2 linked regions of the Styela clava genome follow. The protein of the gene in region 2 binds, or shares a complex with, the protein of the main gene of each other region. Links are inferred from orthologs where the notes say so. Each region holds a gene or a part of one and is shown on either strand. Other genes may lie near its edges. The genes, in order: glucose-induced degradation protein 4 homolog and armadillo repeat-containing protein 8-like.

Region 1 (7,337 bases), on a different chromosome or scaffold from region 2:
TGTGGCGCATCATGCCAAGCGTCGGGAATACGCTCGCCATCGCACCTCCGATTACCCTGGGTTCTGACCCTCTCAGGGGCTACTCATGCAAGAGAGGAATGTTAAGACTCCCAGCTGTGGCAGGTTCACGCGACCGCTGGTCGGTTACGGCTCCCTCATAACGTCTATGCATCCGAAAACAAATCGCAGGAACAGCCTGCAGCCTACGTCTAAACACGAGAATGCAAAAGTAAATCTCTCATAACAGTCTTCCAGTGCCATCGTATCTACCATGTGCGTATTTTCTGATCAACAAGCCGATTTTTCGATCTGATTTTCTGAAGAAGTTGCATAGCTAGTGTGATTATGGGTAAGGTTAGCCCAGCACTGGCTGAAGCATGCGTTTGGTTTTGCTCGATTTGCTCGCCACCTAAGTCTTGCCCCAATAGTATCTCTGAAAAATTTTAAATGGTAAGAAAAGGTCAAAATAAATCTGCATAGTACCTCCCAGCATGAACTTGTTTACAGATTCGGTTATGTTTCTAGCTTGAAAACTGATGTTAGGAAATCATCAGAATTGCAATGTCCTCTTCAATTTTATAACTTATCATTAGTACATAGACAAGTGAGAATTAATCAGCAGTAACGACACAATTTGTTGTCTCGAAACATCGCCTGAGAAGAGTGCATATTTTGTTGATGGATTATTTATGGTGAATACCAAAAAACTCCAGCACATGTATGATTGCTATACTATCCCGCTTGTGAGACTCGAAACCAATCCATTCAAGCAAACGACCGGTCTGTGGCGCAAAACCACAAACATTCCCAATTCCAGACCAGGGTATGTTAAAAAACAATCGTTCATCATCTCATCAAGTATATGGCTGTACATAATTCAGGAACATGCTTCAAGTTGAGAGACTGATACCTGATATCAACAAGATAATATAATTCATTACTGATTTGAATTTCACAATCGAACAAGGCACAGATGAATCATGAATGATAGATAAAAAAAAATGGTAAACTTGATTCAGATAGGTCAGAATTATCTCACTGAAGTCGTTCAATTTCCAGAAACCATTTATATGTTCAATTTGCGGTAATCACTGCATAAAAAATTGTCACATATACTTACAACAGTTATAAAAAAGCTATAATTTTTTTTACTCTATGGTGCATATGATATTAGTTGTTGAAAACTACAGTATTTTTGTAAATTACATTACAACTTACATTTCTGATGTTCTGTGATAGTAATATCCTTCAATAGAAGCAGTAGACTTTTGAAAACAAATATAATAAAATCCAGCAAATGATGCACCATTTATGTCCTGAATTTTATGATCAGGAACCAAAAAATGCTCCTGAAAATAAATTGGTAGCAAAAATAAAAATCATGCATAGCATATGGTCTACTTGAGTGGAGACGCTCAACACTAGATGTTCTAAACCGAATTGTCACAATGAGTTGTAAGAACAAGGCAATTCTAGCTTCAAAAAAGTAGCATTGTTCCCATTATATAATCACTTCTGTAGATATAAATCTCAGAAATGGTTACCAACAAAAATTAATGATGAAAGAAGAAAATTTTTTTTGTTATAAATATTCTAACGAAGAATTTCATAGATTAATTTCCCACACACTTCAAAACTACGGGAGGTATAATGCACACTGTTCAGAAATGTAAAATTATGAATATTGAATCTATTCAGACATAAATAGGTATACTAATTACCTTCCATCTCATGAAAATATAATCACTATCACAAAGTTCTTTATAATCAAAACCATCTGTGTTGAAACTCTTCTCGAACTGATTGAATGCTGTAAATTTTCCCTGTTTGAAAATACAAAAGATGAAATAACTATCTGCCGGAGATATTGCTTGGGAACAGAATATTTTGTATGTACTCTACAATACAATAAACAGTACATGTGTTATTGTACAATAAACATGTACAATAAACAGTGTGCTTTCTACAATTTTATCAGTCATAATTTAGTACCGTGAAAACTTGTGAAAATAAGAAAAAAAATCAATATCTTCTACAAAAGAATAATTCAAATTTTTTTTTATGATTCACATTATAGTTATAGAACTTATAGTTATAGAAAAGAAGAAGAAGAATATAAGAAGTTATAGAAAATCGTCCATATATCGATACATTTCAAATAACTATAAAATGTCATAAGAACAAACCCAATGTTTTTTGTCTACTTCCTCATCAGCTTCCCATTTTCTTGTCAAGAAAGGATATCGTTCACTGATTATTTCACCATCAAAAAATGTTGTCATAGTTGGGAAATCCTCCGTTAGTCCATCTATTTTTAAATAGCCGCAGAGATAGGAAGTATCCAAATCAACTTGCTATAATATATAAACAAAGAGCAAAGTTTAAAGCTTGTGATGACAGCTGTAGACAATTGTGACAATAAGAGACATGTATACTGTATTCGCAATTGGACTGCAGTAGGGATGCAAAAGTAAATGTAACTTGATGCAATAGGTATAGAACTAAGCGTTTGATTTTATATCAACTGCATTGTAAAAGAATTGCAATTAATTCAGTTATCAACCGAAAATATTTTGAGTTTAAAGAAAAAAGTTGCCCAGATGCTAGAAACATGTAAATCATTATGTTCATTAGTATACTTTAATGAAGGTATGTAAAAAGATCGAAGAACAGACGAAGAATAGGCTATTCAAAAACAACTTATTACATCAAAAAGTATCCACCTGCAAAGTAACTTCAACATCATAGCAACTTCCTTTACTCTTTTGATGTCCACGGAATTTTGAACCATTATAAAGCAAAGTTCTATGTATAACAGGTTGTATTGTATTGCATGGTGGAGGAGGATCTAATGTGTCCACCAAAGCACTCATTTTATAAATCTACCAATATATGGGATATCTAAAAATAACAAAAAAATTAAACTACCACAACAAAGTTGGCATAAAAGAAACTTATTTTAATCAAAGATTCTTTTATACAATACAATATCTTAATCGATTATATATTCTGAACCTCTTAACTTTGGAAGAAAGGTATTTGACAATGTGACACATGAAATGGTGAATGAGATTTTTAACCAATAAATAATTATTTTAATATCTGTTAGAAATGAAGATGCAAATTTCACGAAACTTAATACATATAAGCGAGTAATCAACAAAATCAGATCTTCAGCTTTTGCATAATTTCAAACAACCGAAAGCTACAAAATTGCTTGAAGTAGTCATTAAAGAGAAAAACAGAAAAAGTTTAAAGCACATCTGATTGAAAATACTAAAATTAACTGGTGTTGATAAAATGGATCAGATCTTTTTATCGGAACGTTTTGAATCAAATGTATATGTGATGAGATGTAAAACATAAAATAAGTTTAGACTAGACAATTTTCCAAGTTGTTAAATTCTTTTGTTGTAAATCTTCAGCATTTTTAATCAGGATTCATAAATTACCTGATTTCAACAACACTATAAAAATTGATATACAGTACAGCAAAATGACAAAAACTACTGAATGACCAAACATTTTTGTTTGTAGTTCCGAGAAGTTCTACTCAGGACTTATTTACATTTCATATTTTTTAAATTCCATTCCATCTGGTGCCTTGACATCAGTTTTTTCCTTCCTTATATCACCCCAATTCGTGCTGAGCACAGTTCCCCCAGATTCTGAAAAGGATTTATTCATTGCTTTTCTCAAGTTCTCATCGCCATCAGAATATATTTTTTTGAAGAAATTGTTCAAGGCTTCATCTCCTTCTGGTTTTTCATTTTCTTCCTCGGTTTTGATATCAGCAACAAGTTTATCCCAATCTCTTGTATAATGGGCTGAAGATGGATATTTATTTGCGTCGTCTATATTTGTTGATGCAGCTGGTGCTGGCATAGGTGCAGTAGGTGAGTTATCTTCACCATGCAGCAAGCTCCACCTTATTCCTTCTGCTTTCATTAATTTGCATTCAATTTTCGTGGACATTATGCGCGATGTACATTTATCTGGTAATATTTTGTGCGATAGTGACAGATTTAAAACAAAGCTTTCCCCAGTGTCACGTTGAATTTTGACTGACAGCGATTGTTCACCATATTTTGTTGAGAATTCTTCTTGTTTGACTCTTTTTACCATAATTGTTACTACAACGTAAGTGTCGGTCTGGTACCAATCATATTTCGGAGTAAGTGTTGACGTGTTTGTGGAAGATTCTCCGTTTAACTCCATAGTATTGCTCCTAATGCACCAAAATTTCGCAAAATACAACCATAAACCCCTTTGACAAGACGACCGCTCTCAACGCACGGAGTAAGATTACTGGAATATTCCTCAACGGGCAAACCGTTCTTCGTGCACCTTTGTCGCCATTCAGTGTATAAATCCCGAGATAGCTTGAAATTATACTGAGACATATCTGAAAGTGGTGAGGCATATTGACTTGTATTTTCTTGTAAGCATGAGTCATTGATAATTAAAAAGTTATGTATTTTATTTTCCTTGACCGTAGACAAAGGCTGTTGAAAAGCACAAACATATATTTTAGGTTCCTGTTTCGGGGGGAGTGGTGGAGGTGTGTTCCCGTTTGTTTTGGTTTTTATGATTTGCACTCTGCAAAGTTTCCTTATAATTCTCCTATTTTTACTTATCTGTACCGATATGCCGCAGTATAGTATTGTTTTGGTCGTCAGTGGCCTGAGTGTTAATTGCAATGAATTCCATAATCTAATTACCGATATGTAATTATTTATGCTTCTTGCATTACAGCATTGTAAAATAAATTGTCTATACTTATCGCTTTTTACCAAGCAGTATCGGTATTTTATTTTCTCACTTGTACAGGTTACTAGTAATGCATGCCAATTAACTGAAATTTCAGAATATTTTGATTGAAGACGGAAGAAATACCTGTAACTACAGAACTAAAAATGTGGCAAAAGATTTCGTTAAAAACTTACATGGCAGCAACAGTGGTGAGTAGCTTACACAATGTTATCAATAAAATCTTGCACTTTTTTCAGAAGTATCTTCATTATACACCAATATAGAATTTATTACTACTAATTCAGTTGTTTTACAAGGTTTGAATGTCCCAAGATCTTACTTGAAAATAACGCCTAAATACCATGACAAAAAAGACTGATTACACCATCACCATACTTCCATATAATCAAGATGTCTCATTGTCTTTTTTATCCCCTGGGATAAATATGAAAATCTTTTCCTCTCAACCTACCAACATTTGATTACTCTTTCACAGTATTTGTAAAATTGTTAACAGCAACAATTTTATTTTTAGGGTGTTTCAAAATCATTCTCAAGCATAGCGCAGCCTTCAAAACAAATGTTTGAAGCTTTTGAAAAAATTGTTGGATCCAAAAATATAAGTAAAGCTCCATCTACTTTGGAACAACATTCCCATGATGAATCGTATCACAGGTGAAATTATTTATTGACTATTTCTGTGATCGAAATACTCCAATTGGTAACTGAAAAAAGAATAAATCTCCCCCCCCCAAAAAAAAAAAAGTAAACACAATATGGGAAAATATAACATGACTCTCTATGGTGTATGTAAGAATTTCTCAATCATTCGCTTGAAAAGTAACTTGATCAAATTGCATAATAGTTCTAGATTATTTGCCCGCTTGGGTCTTGGATCCTTTTATTTTTCAGAACATTTTTTCGAGATTAGTGGACAAAACCCCTTGATTGTTGTGCTTGATTTTAACAAAATGTGTAAGGAAGTTTTTTTCTTGTCGAGATAAGTTTGTTTATATTATTTTATTGAATACTTGTTCTTAATATTGAAAATAATTTTTTTCTCACTATGTTTTTTCTTGCTCGTTTTTTCTCGCTTTTCAACATATCTCATTGTATTCATTTTAATAGGAGAAAACTGCCTGATATTGTTGTATGGCCTGCAAATGCCAACCAAGTCAGCGATCTCGCAAGATTTTGCACTGCTGAACGAATACCAATGATTCCATATGGTACTGGAACTGGACTTGAGGGTGGAGTGGCACCAACTTCTGTGAGATGAATTGTGATTAAAATTTTAATATCAGATTTATGAATTAAGCAGCAGTAATTTTTCTGGATTTATTTTTTGTTAATAAACTAAATATTCATTACTTGTTAGAAATGGCCTGCGCTTCAAATATTTTTTATGTGTAAAAAATGATGGCCTCATACTTTTTTAGGGTGGCGTTTGTGTCAACTTGATGAAAATGGATGAAATAATTGATGTCAACATTGAGGATTTTGATGTGACAGTCCAACCTGGTGTGACACGCCTGGGCCTCAATCAGTATGTTTCTTAGATTTTTATCACAAGGTTTTTATCACATCTTCACTCTAAACAAGGCCATAGACAAGCAGGTATATTTAGGGACTATTTGGAAAGACTGAAATTTTTCCAGTTCATCATATTCCCCACCTAACAATTTAAATATACCGTTAGATAGAGGGCATTGGGTTGGAACCCAAAAAGCTTTAAAATGCTTTTTCTTTATTGAATTTTCAATAGGTAATGTTAAGGTGCTATTTATGTCGTTTTATTTTATTTTCAGGCGTCTTCGAGACAGTGGAATGTGGTTTCCAGTGGATCCAGGGGCAGATGCTTCTCTATGTGGGATGGCTGCAACCAGTGCATCAGGCACTAATGCTGTGAGGTATGTTAATATATGAAATGAATATAACATAATAGGATAAATAGCCTTAAGATGGACAAGATGTCCCCATTAGGCATAACTATATTGGTATCGCAGTCTCACTGGCCACGGTGCAATAAATTAGGTAGCCTAGGCAGAATTAGAAAGATCTGGTCTTTTGAAAATAGAAACTTTTCCATAATAGTGCCTACTGCCTAGTAGAGGGAATGTGTTCAGGTACCCATGAAAAGATATTAATCGACAAATAATACACCACTTTCATACTTCAGATATGGAACAATGAAAGAAAATATACTAAATTTACAAGTTGTTTTACCTGATGGGAAAATTATTCATACTGCTGGTGAGAGAAGAAGATTCAAGTAATTGTTTTGTCTTGAATTCAGTGATTTTTTAAAAAATTAAAATGAAGATTGGTATGCACCACATATACATTTTCAGAAAAAGTGCAGCTGGATACAATCTGACAAATCTTTTTGTTGGATCAGAGGGAACACTGGGTTTTATAACTTCAGCAACACTGAGATTACATCCTGTACCTGATTCTGTGAGAATTACCTTTATGATTGGTTTAGCCCCCATTGTTTACTGGTTATATAGAAAACTATATAGTTTACAATGAACGCTTGAAAAGTTGCCACAGATATTTTCAAAAGCAATTTATTTGCACAGCAT
Region 2 (7,841 bases):
CACACCCAATGATTAGCAGGATGGAACAAGCTACACTGACAATGCATGTGTAGTAAGTACTTAGTTTCAACACTAACCACCTTGGCCAGTAGAAATATGCCAAATTCGGATATTTCAGACAAAGGAAATGTATTTTAGGGTTATATTGAGCGTATCATCACTCTAATACAGTCATAATCTCCTTGCTTTACATGCAGAGTTGAAAATATAGAATGCACACAACCTACACAAAAAAATTTTCTTGCCTTGCTCACAGTTTAATCTGGGAAAGCAAACCACAAAAAATCAATAATGTCACACAAATCTACTTAGACATGTTATTGGAATCTGTATGAACCTGTCTCACCGCAAATCAATAATCATTCTTGCAATCTTATTTGACTAAACTTCCTGGTATTAGAGTATATCCTTTGTTAGTTCACCTTAATAACAGATGATTGCATCAGCCCTGTGAATACAGCACATTATAATTGGAGGGAATTACCAAGCGAAAAGTATTACGCATTCTAGAAATAAAACTCACTCTGTGAATACCACAAGGACTTACCATGTATGTGCTGAGTTTACCACCAGATAATAAATAACCGAAGCAAGGATGATTATCAATGAAAAACTTCTTCCATTGAATAAACCTTATACCTAGTCAATGGAATGACATAAGCGACACCACTGCTTTAGTACTTTTAGAGATTTAATATTATAATAAAAGATAAATATACTTAAATTTTCCATCTAGGTATGATTATAGGGAAATAGATATCGATAATTTGGTATATATAAATAATGGTATACTTCATTTTATCGAAGCTATTTGCCTTGTCAAGAACTAGTTTTGTGTACTAAGTAACAAACTGTACTGTCATGAACTTGAATACCAGAAACTTGTGTGCCATTTCTATTTTGTTATAATGAAAGAACAACAATTCCAAAGTAAGAAAAAATATATCAAAAAGGTTTGAAACTTTCATTCGTGCATAAAAATTTTTTGTTCAAACGTCAATGACCAGCCGTCAAGGGACTAGTCTGTTGAACTCAAACCATGTCATAGGCTGTTTTCAAAAAGATTGCAGTTAAGTTACCGGTACTTCAAAAACTTATAAGCCTTCTATATATCAATAGCTGATTGTCAAGACTCTGGTCAATCAGTTGATTTATAATAAAAGAAACAGTACATTTGTTACCAAAAATTATTTTGTATTCTGAAACTGCTGAAGTACTTTATCCACTTTATCATAAAGAACAGTATCGTTAGTGGTTTGTAGATGTTGTAAGCTGTTCACTGCTCCCAACTCTATCATTACGGCCTGACGTTCCACACAGCCTGTATTCATTCTAACAAAATTGTATATAAATGATACTGAAGCCATTTGCAGATTAAGGTCAAAATGCATCAAATAGCTAACAACTTGCTGCAAAAGTTCCGTTTCATTCTCGAGAAAGGTCTTTACTGTTGACCCTCCATCCCCACCCGCCACACCTGCGAGTATGCACACTATATGGGCACGTATGCACTCGTACTCTGAATGTAAGCCAGGATGGCCAGTTCCAGCATCAGAGAATGCAGTTAAAACGTGTTTACAAGCTTGTATGATATTTACGCCATATAATGGCATTATTTTATCTTGATCCGAGCTGAGTATGTTACGCAGGAGTCCCAAAGTACGTATAATAACATCACGATCACTGTCTTGTAACAATTGCAATATCTGTTCAAAGCTGATCGCTTCAAGTATCTCTAATTTTAATGCTAATTCAGCATGGAACGACATATTCATAAAGATCCAAATAGCGTTCAGTCTTAAATCCTCCACATTTAACCATTCAGTTATGGTTTTTATCAATCCAGCTGCTTTCAAGTCCATTTTGCAGGGTGAAATGTCAAGCATTAGGTTGCACAATACACTGCTGATGATCTTTGTTTCATTAATATCTTGTGCAAAGTCCTGCATCAATTTTAATAATGATTTCCAAATACCTACGTCCTGAAAAGTTGTACGAAGTAGATGTACGGAGCGAGATAAACTTAAAAGGCATTTTAATGCAGCCGAGCGAACTAATGCACAAGGATCGATTAGAGATTCTGAAATGTGTTTTACCAGCAGCTCTGTGGCAACTTGTTTTCGGATATCTTCGTCATTTGAAAGAAGTGAGGCGTACGCTAAAAATCCTGCTCTGTGTAACTGTTTTCCATGTTTTAAAGCGTGCTTGAAGAATTTTATATTGTGTTCGTTCTTTGTTAAGCTTACTGAAGGATATTTAAAATAAGCTTCTAATTTGTGAGGAAACTGTTCACAGATATAAGCAAGTCTTTGCAAAGGTGGATCAACTTCGATCAAATACGCAAGAGTTTCGGCACTGCAAATGCGCTGATCAGGGTCCGATTCCATATCACACATTCTAACCAAACGTGTCAGCACTTTTCTGACAATAACATGATCCCATGAATCTGCAGTTAAAACCCGCATTCGAAACATGAAAGTCAGACATTTTGCAGCACGCATTTGAATATCCGCAGGTTGACTTTCATTAAGTAGTCTTATCACAATTTCCATAAGAGGTTTGTCCTTTATTTTTGACATGGCACATTGCTTACAGGCTTCTTTGTTTTTGTAACATAGAGCAGCTAGCGTATCCAAGGCCTTCACCTTAACCCTTCGAATGGGTGAAACCAATAAATCACCAAGTAAATTTATAATATCAAGTTTGATCAAAAGATCTTTATGGTTTTGTGCAATACAAGAATGAGCAATAATCTCGCATGTACATTCTTGTGTACAACTGGAACGATTGATATTTTCTAACAATTTTGGAATTATTTCAGAAGGGTTGATGTATAACAATTCAGTAGTTCTTTCAGTAGAAGTTATGATAGTCCGTAAACATCTAACAGTGGCTTCGTACAATTGCAAATCGTTTGTAGTAAGATGGCTACATAGAGTTTCCAAAACACGGTGATCTAATAAATGCTTTAAATTTGCATCAACTCCTTTTGCAAGACTGCCAAGTACAATTGCAGATTGTATTTTCAATTCCATCGAAGTGTTACTGTCCTCAATTAAGAAGACCAATCTGGGAACGACTCCTAGTACAATAAAATTCGTTTTTTGCTTTTTGTTTCCAATAACTAAGTTTTTGATTTCTTTTATGCCTTCAAATACTATACTCTCATCAGTATCAAATATTTTTCCAACGTAGGGCTGATACATTGTTGTTATCTCGGAGAGCACACCTTGAACCGCAACCGGGAAAACCTCGCTCATGTCATGTTGGTCAACTTCCATGCTCATTTTTCAAAATAATCAACTTATCTAACAACTGCTTCCTTCGCCTGTCGCCATTGAAATAAAAATCACAAAAAATTAGTTCACATTTCATACAATCTATGAACATCAAATACAATGAGAGAATAAAAGGCATGAATAAAGATGTGCACTAAGTCGTATAAAAAAAAACTTCATCAATATCTTAAAACTTGATAGAAGTAATTTTAAAAAGGGTCAAAATAACAGACAATAGTTTTAAAAGTACATCAAGGTTCGGGGCAGACGCTTCAACACAATAAACGTAGATCTTCTTGGACCATTGTTGACACTATTGCAATACAATTAAAGTTGGAAATATGTACAAATTTACCCAAATCTTATACCACATAGTCATGTCATAAAAAATTTATTCATAAATAAAAATGAACTAATAAATTATATTCCAGGCTATGACACAATGTATGTTGATAATTACATTCAAGAGCTTGACGTCAACAGTACTAAAAATATTTCCATGCTATTGCCAGGTACCATGAACTTACACAAGAGAGTTATGTCAGTTCTTGTGTTTATAATAGACACACGTACTATTGATGCAACTTGATATGACCATGGACGTCATAGCTGGCAGATATTCAAGTACAATTCTAATTTTGGAATTTAGCTGAAGGTTACAGTTTCAAATCATGTTCGTATTGATCACTAATTTGCATAGTATAGAATTTGTTTTTTTTAACAAGAAGAATCCATAACCAATTATGGGATTCTATTTTTCCTTGTAACTTTTGCACGAGGAAAAAGTATTATAGGCCAAAGATATTGAACTGATACACTACTCATTAGAACCTATTTAGTCAAGATTGTCTGATTGGTATCTCCGGGGAATGAAAGGGCATATGGTAATTGAGCGCTCAACCTTGAATGTATTGATCCAAACAATTAAAGTAATACATGGGAGAAGGATAGTTAAATACAGTGGTACCCAATTTTTCATTGATTTTTTGTAGGTATTGCCACCACCTAGTCAGCTCAATAGTAAGAAAGGAGAAAGCGAATGATCACGCATGCACAAAATTATGTATCAAATTGTGTATTATTAAAATCATAATTTTTTGTGATTTTCAATTTTTTAACAAACGAAAAAAAATTGTGAATGAGGTAGACTGACCAAACAAACATTTGTATAGAATTATTTTATGTTTTGAAAACGGACAAATTTAACTAATTTTGAAGAGTGATTCACATAAAAGTAAAGGAAGAGTAATGATATTCCAATCCCCAGTATGGTTTCAAAAGTTATAAAAGGGGTTCCGCAGTTCTAAAAAAAGGTTGAGAATTGCTAATATATCTCATAAATCAAGTATAACAGCTAAACAATTCTTCTTTCAAAAAACTATATATCAACAATAACAAAGGTTTGAGCAGAGCCGGGTGTTGTTAAGATCTCCATTGCACTGTATGTAATTGCTTTGATTTCAGTACCTTGTCCGCCATGTCTTTTTTCGTCGAATTCCTCTCCATATCCGACAGCTTTTATTTTAAATTCTTTCTCGTCAAACTCCGTTATTTTTACTTCCCTGGGAATATAATACGGTACACAAGACATCATAAATAAGAATTCGTCTAAAAACTTGTACAAAAGTGATTCTAAATCCTCTCCTTCGACTTCTATTTCTCTGTGTGATTCTGGACAAACACCATCGATGTCCGTCATGTAGTTGAACATTCCCATCGCAGCTTGTTCAAAAGCCTCTGACAAATCCTCTCCCCATGAGTGAATTTGTACATCTGCAGTGTGATCAAGGTACTCAAATTTTCTCGTCACCTTCTCAAATCTTGATAAGTCTCCCCCACCAGCCATCTTAGCTTCGTATTCCTCAATATTCGTTTTTGCAATCAGACTCGCTACTTTTATATTTCCGCAGATTGAGATTCATTAAATCTCCATTGTTCGTAAGTATTTTTCCTTTTTCCAACTAATCCATCATTACTCCATTATTGCTGCTATTACGACCTTATTAACATAGATAAAATCTAAATAATACACAAATACAATGAAGTTTAATGAACAAGACAAATCATGGGTACTGCTATCCTATAAAGAAATTAGATATCAAATCATATTCAACAAAGCATGTATCATTTACTAGATTACAATATCAATTACAGAATGAGTATTGTATTAAAAGGATGTTGATGTGCAAAAATTCATTTTAATTTTAGATATATCATTTTAAATATAAAATTTCACTGGGAGCGCCCCAAAAATATTTTATTTTTCAAAAGTTTTAATTTCATTTTTTTTCATATTATTATCCAAAAATTTTCATGCTTTAATGGATATGATTTGATACCTGATTTCCCAACGGGATATGTAAAGTTTTGAATCTTTTAACTTGTGAGAGAAATTAAAATGCAACAACAATGACTGGCCAAATTAAATAAAAGCACTTTAACAATGCGTAAGAAGATCAAACCAAGCTCGCTATAAACTACGTACGATGACGCAGTTGAATCAAGTGTGCACCAGCCAGAAAATAACCACTAATGACTTTAATTCATCGATAAATAATCATTTTTTACTGTAATGAATAGTATATTAATTTCAGCGCCAAATCATTCAAATAAAAACTTTTTGGAACATCACTAATCAAATCACTGAAAAACTTTGATAGATAATTTATGTGTTAGTATAATTACATATGCCAAACTGTAGTCAATTTCTGGCCAGCGGCATGGATCAACAGCACATAACTAGATCCCCATAAAAGACAGTATATGAATGATGATGAAGCGATGATAGGAGCAATTAACAGTCAATTAAACACATGTCACATAAAGAAATGTGCTATAAAATATATCACATATAATACACATCCTATCTCGTTACCTCTTTCCATGCATCAATATAGAATAATTCATTCAATAGATTAACTCCAACAACTTGATAAAAACATGTTAACTTGATAATCTGTTTGAACATTCAATTTTACAATTCTCGGAATCGTTAATTTTGATACAATCCCAGAAACAAATTGCATAAAATACGATCATGTCTGCTGTAGGTTCCATGAATTATGTATAAAGTCTTCGGGTCTACCAGAAAGATCAAAACACGCCAATTAAGAGGGAAAATCAACTTTGATTTAAAAAATTTGCCATGTTATGAAAGGTGGAAACAGTAATGACAATATTGAGTCAATGTGTCATGAAATACCATTTTTTTACTAGACTAAAGGGCTGTACATTTCGACAATATTTCAAAAACGAGTCAACAAATAACAGAAATGATGACAACTATAGTTTGTAGATGCTGAAATAAGTGAAAATTGATCAACAGATAAATTTACCACTTTTTAGTAAGTAATATTGATGGATATTCAATTTCGAAAGATAATTATGTAATTACGATACTTGAAAATTCAAATAGAATTCAACTGAACTGCCTAAAAATTAGATGCCAGGGATATGAACATAAAATAAAACCATAATGGCTGCATTTGCTTAAAAAGGGCAAAGAGGATCAAAAGGAAAATGGATACAGATTTTAATATATTCCTATAAATATTTTAGTAACTGACGTTGAATACATTATGATGAAATCGAGTTAAAAAATCATTTCTGAGATCTACGTCAGAATCATGAAGATATTTTCATCTTGATATAGTTTGAAACCTTTTTATTCGTAAAATTTGCCGAATGGTTAGGTCTCACGAGCATATGCATAATTGGTCTACAAGTTCTGTTTTTGAATAGTATTGGCATTCCATTTTACAAACGTGTACAATTGCTACCAAATGTATGGAAGATTGTAATTTGGACTTATCAATTAACTCAATGCCAGACAGTGCAAAGACTAAGCTGCTAGGAAGAAGGGAACAAAAAAGTGATCTGAAACAAACTAGTACAAAAAATGAAACAAAGTAAACCACTCATTATTGACACCTTGAACAGCAATTCTGTACAGATGAGTGTGCCAATTCGAATAGCTTTAGAAGTGAACTTTGTGTATCTGCTTGATGAACAGTTAACACAAAGACAGAGCTGTCAGTTTATTTGACCAACGAGTCACTGTCTTATATCCAATTGAGTCCCGTTGATCATTTGTGGCCGACAGTGGTAACAGAAGTCCAAATCAGCTCGATGATGGTAACATAGTCTGTGCATTACTAAAAACGGAGAAATCGATAATATTATACAAAAAAAAAATTTGGTTTAGGTAGCACATTATTTTCCTGCTTTTCCTCCTTTTCCTTTTCCTGCTGAAGCTCTCGGTGGTGTTACAGGTCGTCCTGAATTGATGCCTCCATAAGGGAACTTTTTCTTATCAGCTGGTTTGAGGATTTGGAACGAACACATCAAAGTTTCGTCGACACTCATCATTGCACCTGCATTATCAAATTCTCCACAGTAGTTGGGAGCACTGAATAATGTGACAAGTTGCCTTTTTGCAAAGAACTCGTAACCATCTTCCACAACTTGATGAGCTCGACAAATCAAATCAAGATCCTGTTTGTGAAGAAACTTCGCGACAACCTCCGCACCAAAAGTGAATGAAACACCCCTGTCATTTTCCCC

What was found.
Region 1: the proteins of armadillo repeat-containing protein 8-like (region 2) and glucose-induced degradation protein 4 homolog are in contact, whole or in part, in a cryo-EM structure (PDB 7NSC), measured with the Homo sapiens proteins. The link is inferred for Styela clava from reciprocal best matches to the Homo sapiens genes ARMC8 and GID4. Residues at the interface, in NP_001350870.1 of Homo sapiens: Glu309, Pro310, Asp311, Val312, Asn371, Glu373, Arg406, His409, Arg413, Ser414, Val415, Gln416, Arg419, Thr420, Gln423, Asp424, Val444, Ser448, Cys451, Asn452, Leu455, Phe457, Ala483, Val486, Asn487, Trp490, Met493, Asn494, Phe497, Gln498; in NP_076957.3 of Homo sapiens: Leu104, Ile105, Pro106, Pro107, Pro108, Pro109, Ile110, Gln114, Pro115, Gly116, Val117, Ala118, Thr119, Gly125, Gln146, His147, Tyr154, Cys156, Tyr158, Phe174, Glu176, Phe239, Val241, Pro242, His244, His292, Ser293, Ala294, Pro295, Ile296.

The regions. Positions count from the first base shown.
Region 1 is NC_135253.1:16,878,629-16,885,965, forward strand, and holds glucose-induced degradation protein 4 homolog, read right to left. Parts: upstream 2,883-7,337; 5' UTR 2,874-2,882; coding exon 2,724-2,873; intron 2,355-2,723; coding exon 2,187-2,354; intron 1,824-2,186; coding exon 1,722-1,823; intron 1,350-1,721; coding exon 1,219-1,349; intron 911-1,218; coding exon 847-910; 3' UTR 557-846; downstream 1-556. Other genes in the region: protein SGT1 homolog, read right to left, coding at 3,565-4,218; putative D-lactate dehydrogenase, mitochondrial, read left to right, coding at 4,917-4,961, 5,288-5,427, 5,881-6,022, 6,192-6,298, 6,561-6,662, 6,932-7,024, 7,104-7,209.
Region 2 is NC_135258.1:9,308,219-9,316,059, reverse strand, and holds armadillo repeat-containing protein 8-like, read right to left. Parts: upstream 3,288-7,841; coding exon 1,188-3,287; 3' UTR 716-1,187; downstream 1-715. Other genes in the region: protein archease-like, read right to left, coding at 4,657-5,124; serine/threonine-protein phosphatase PP1-gamma catalytic subunit B, read right to left, coding at 7,491-7,841. UniProt on the Homo sapiens protein: Component of the CTLH E3 ubiquitin-protein ligase complex that selectively accepts ubiquitin from UBE2H and mediates ubiquitination and subsequent proteasomal degradation of the transcription factor HBP1.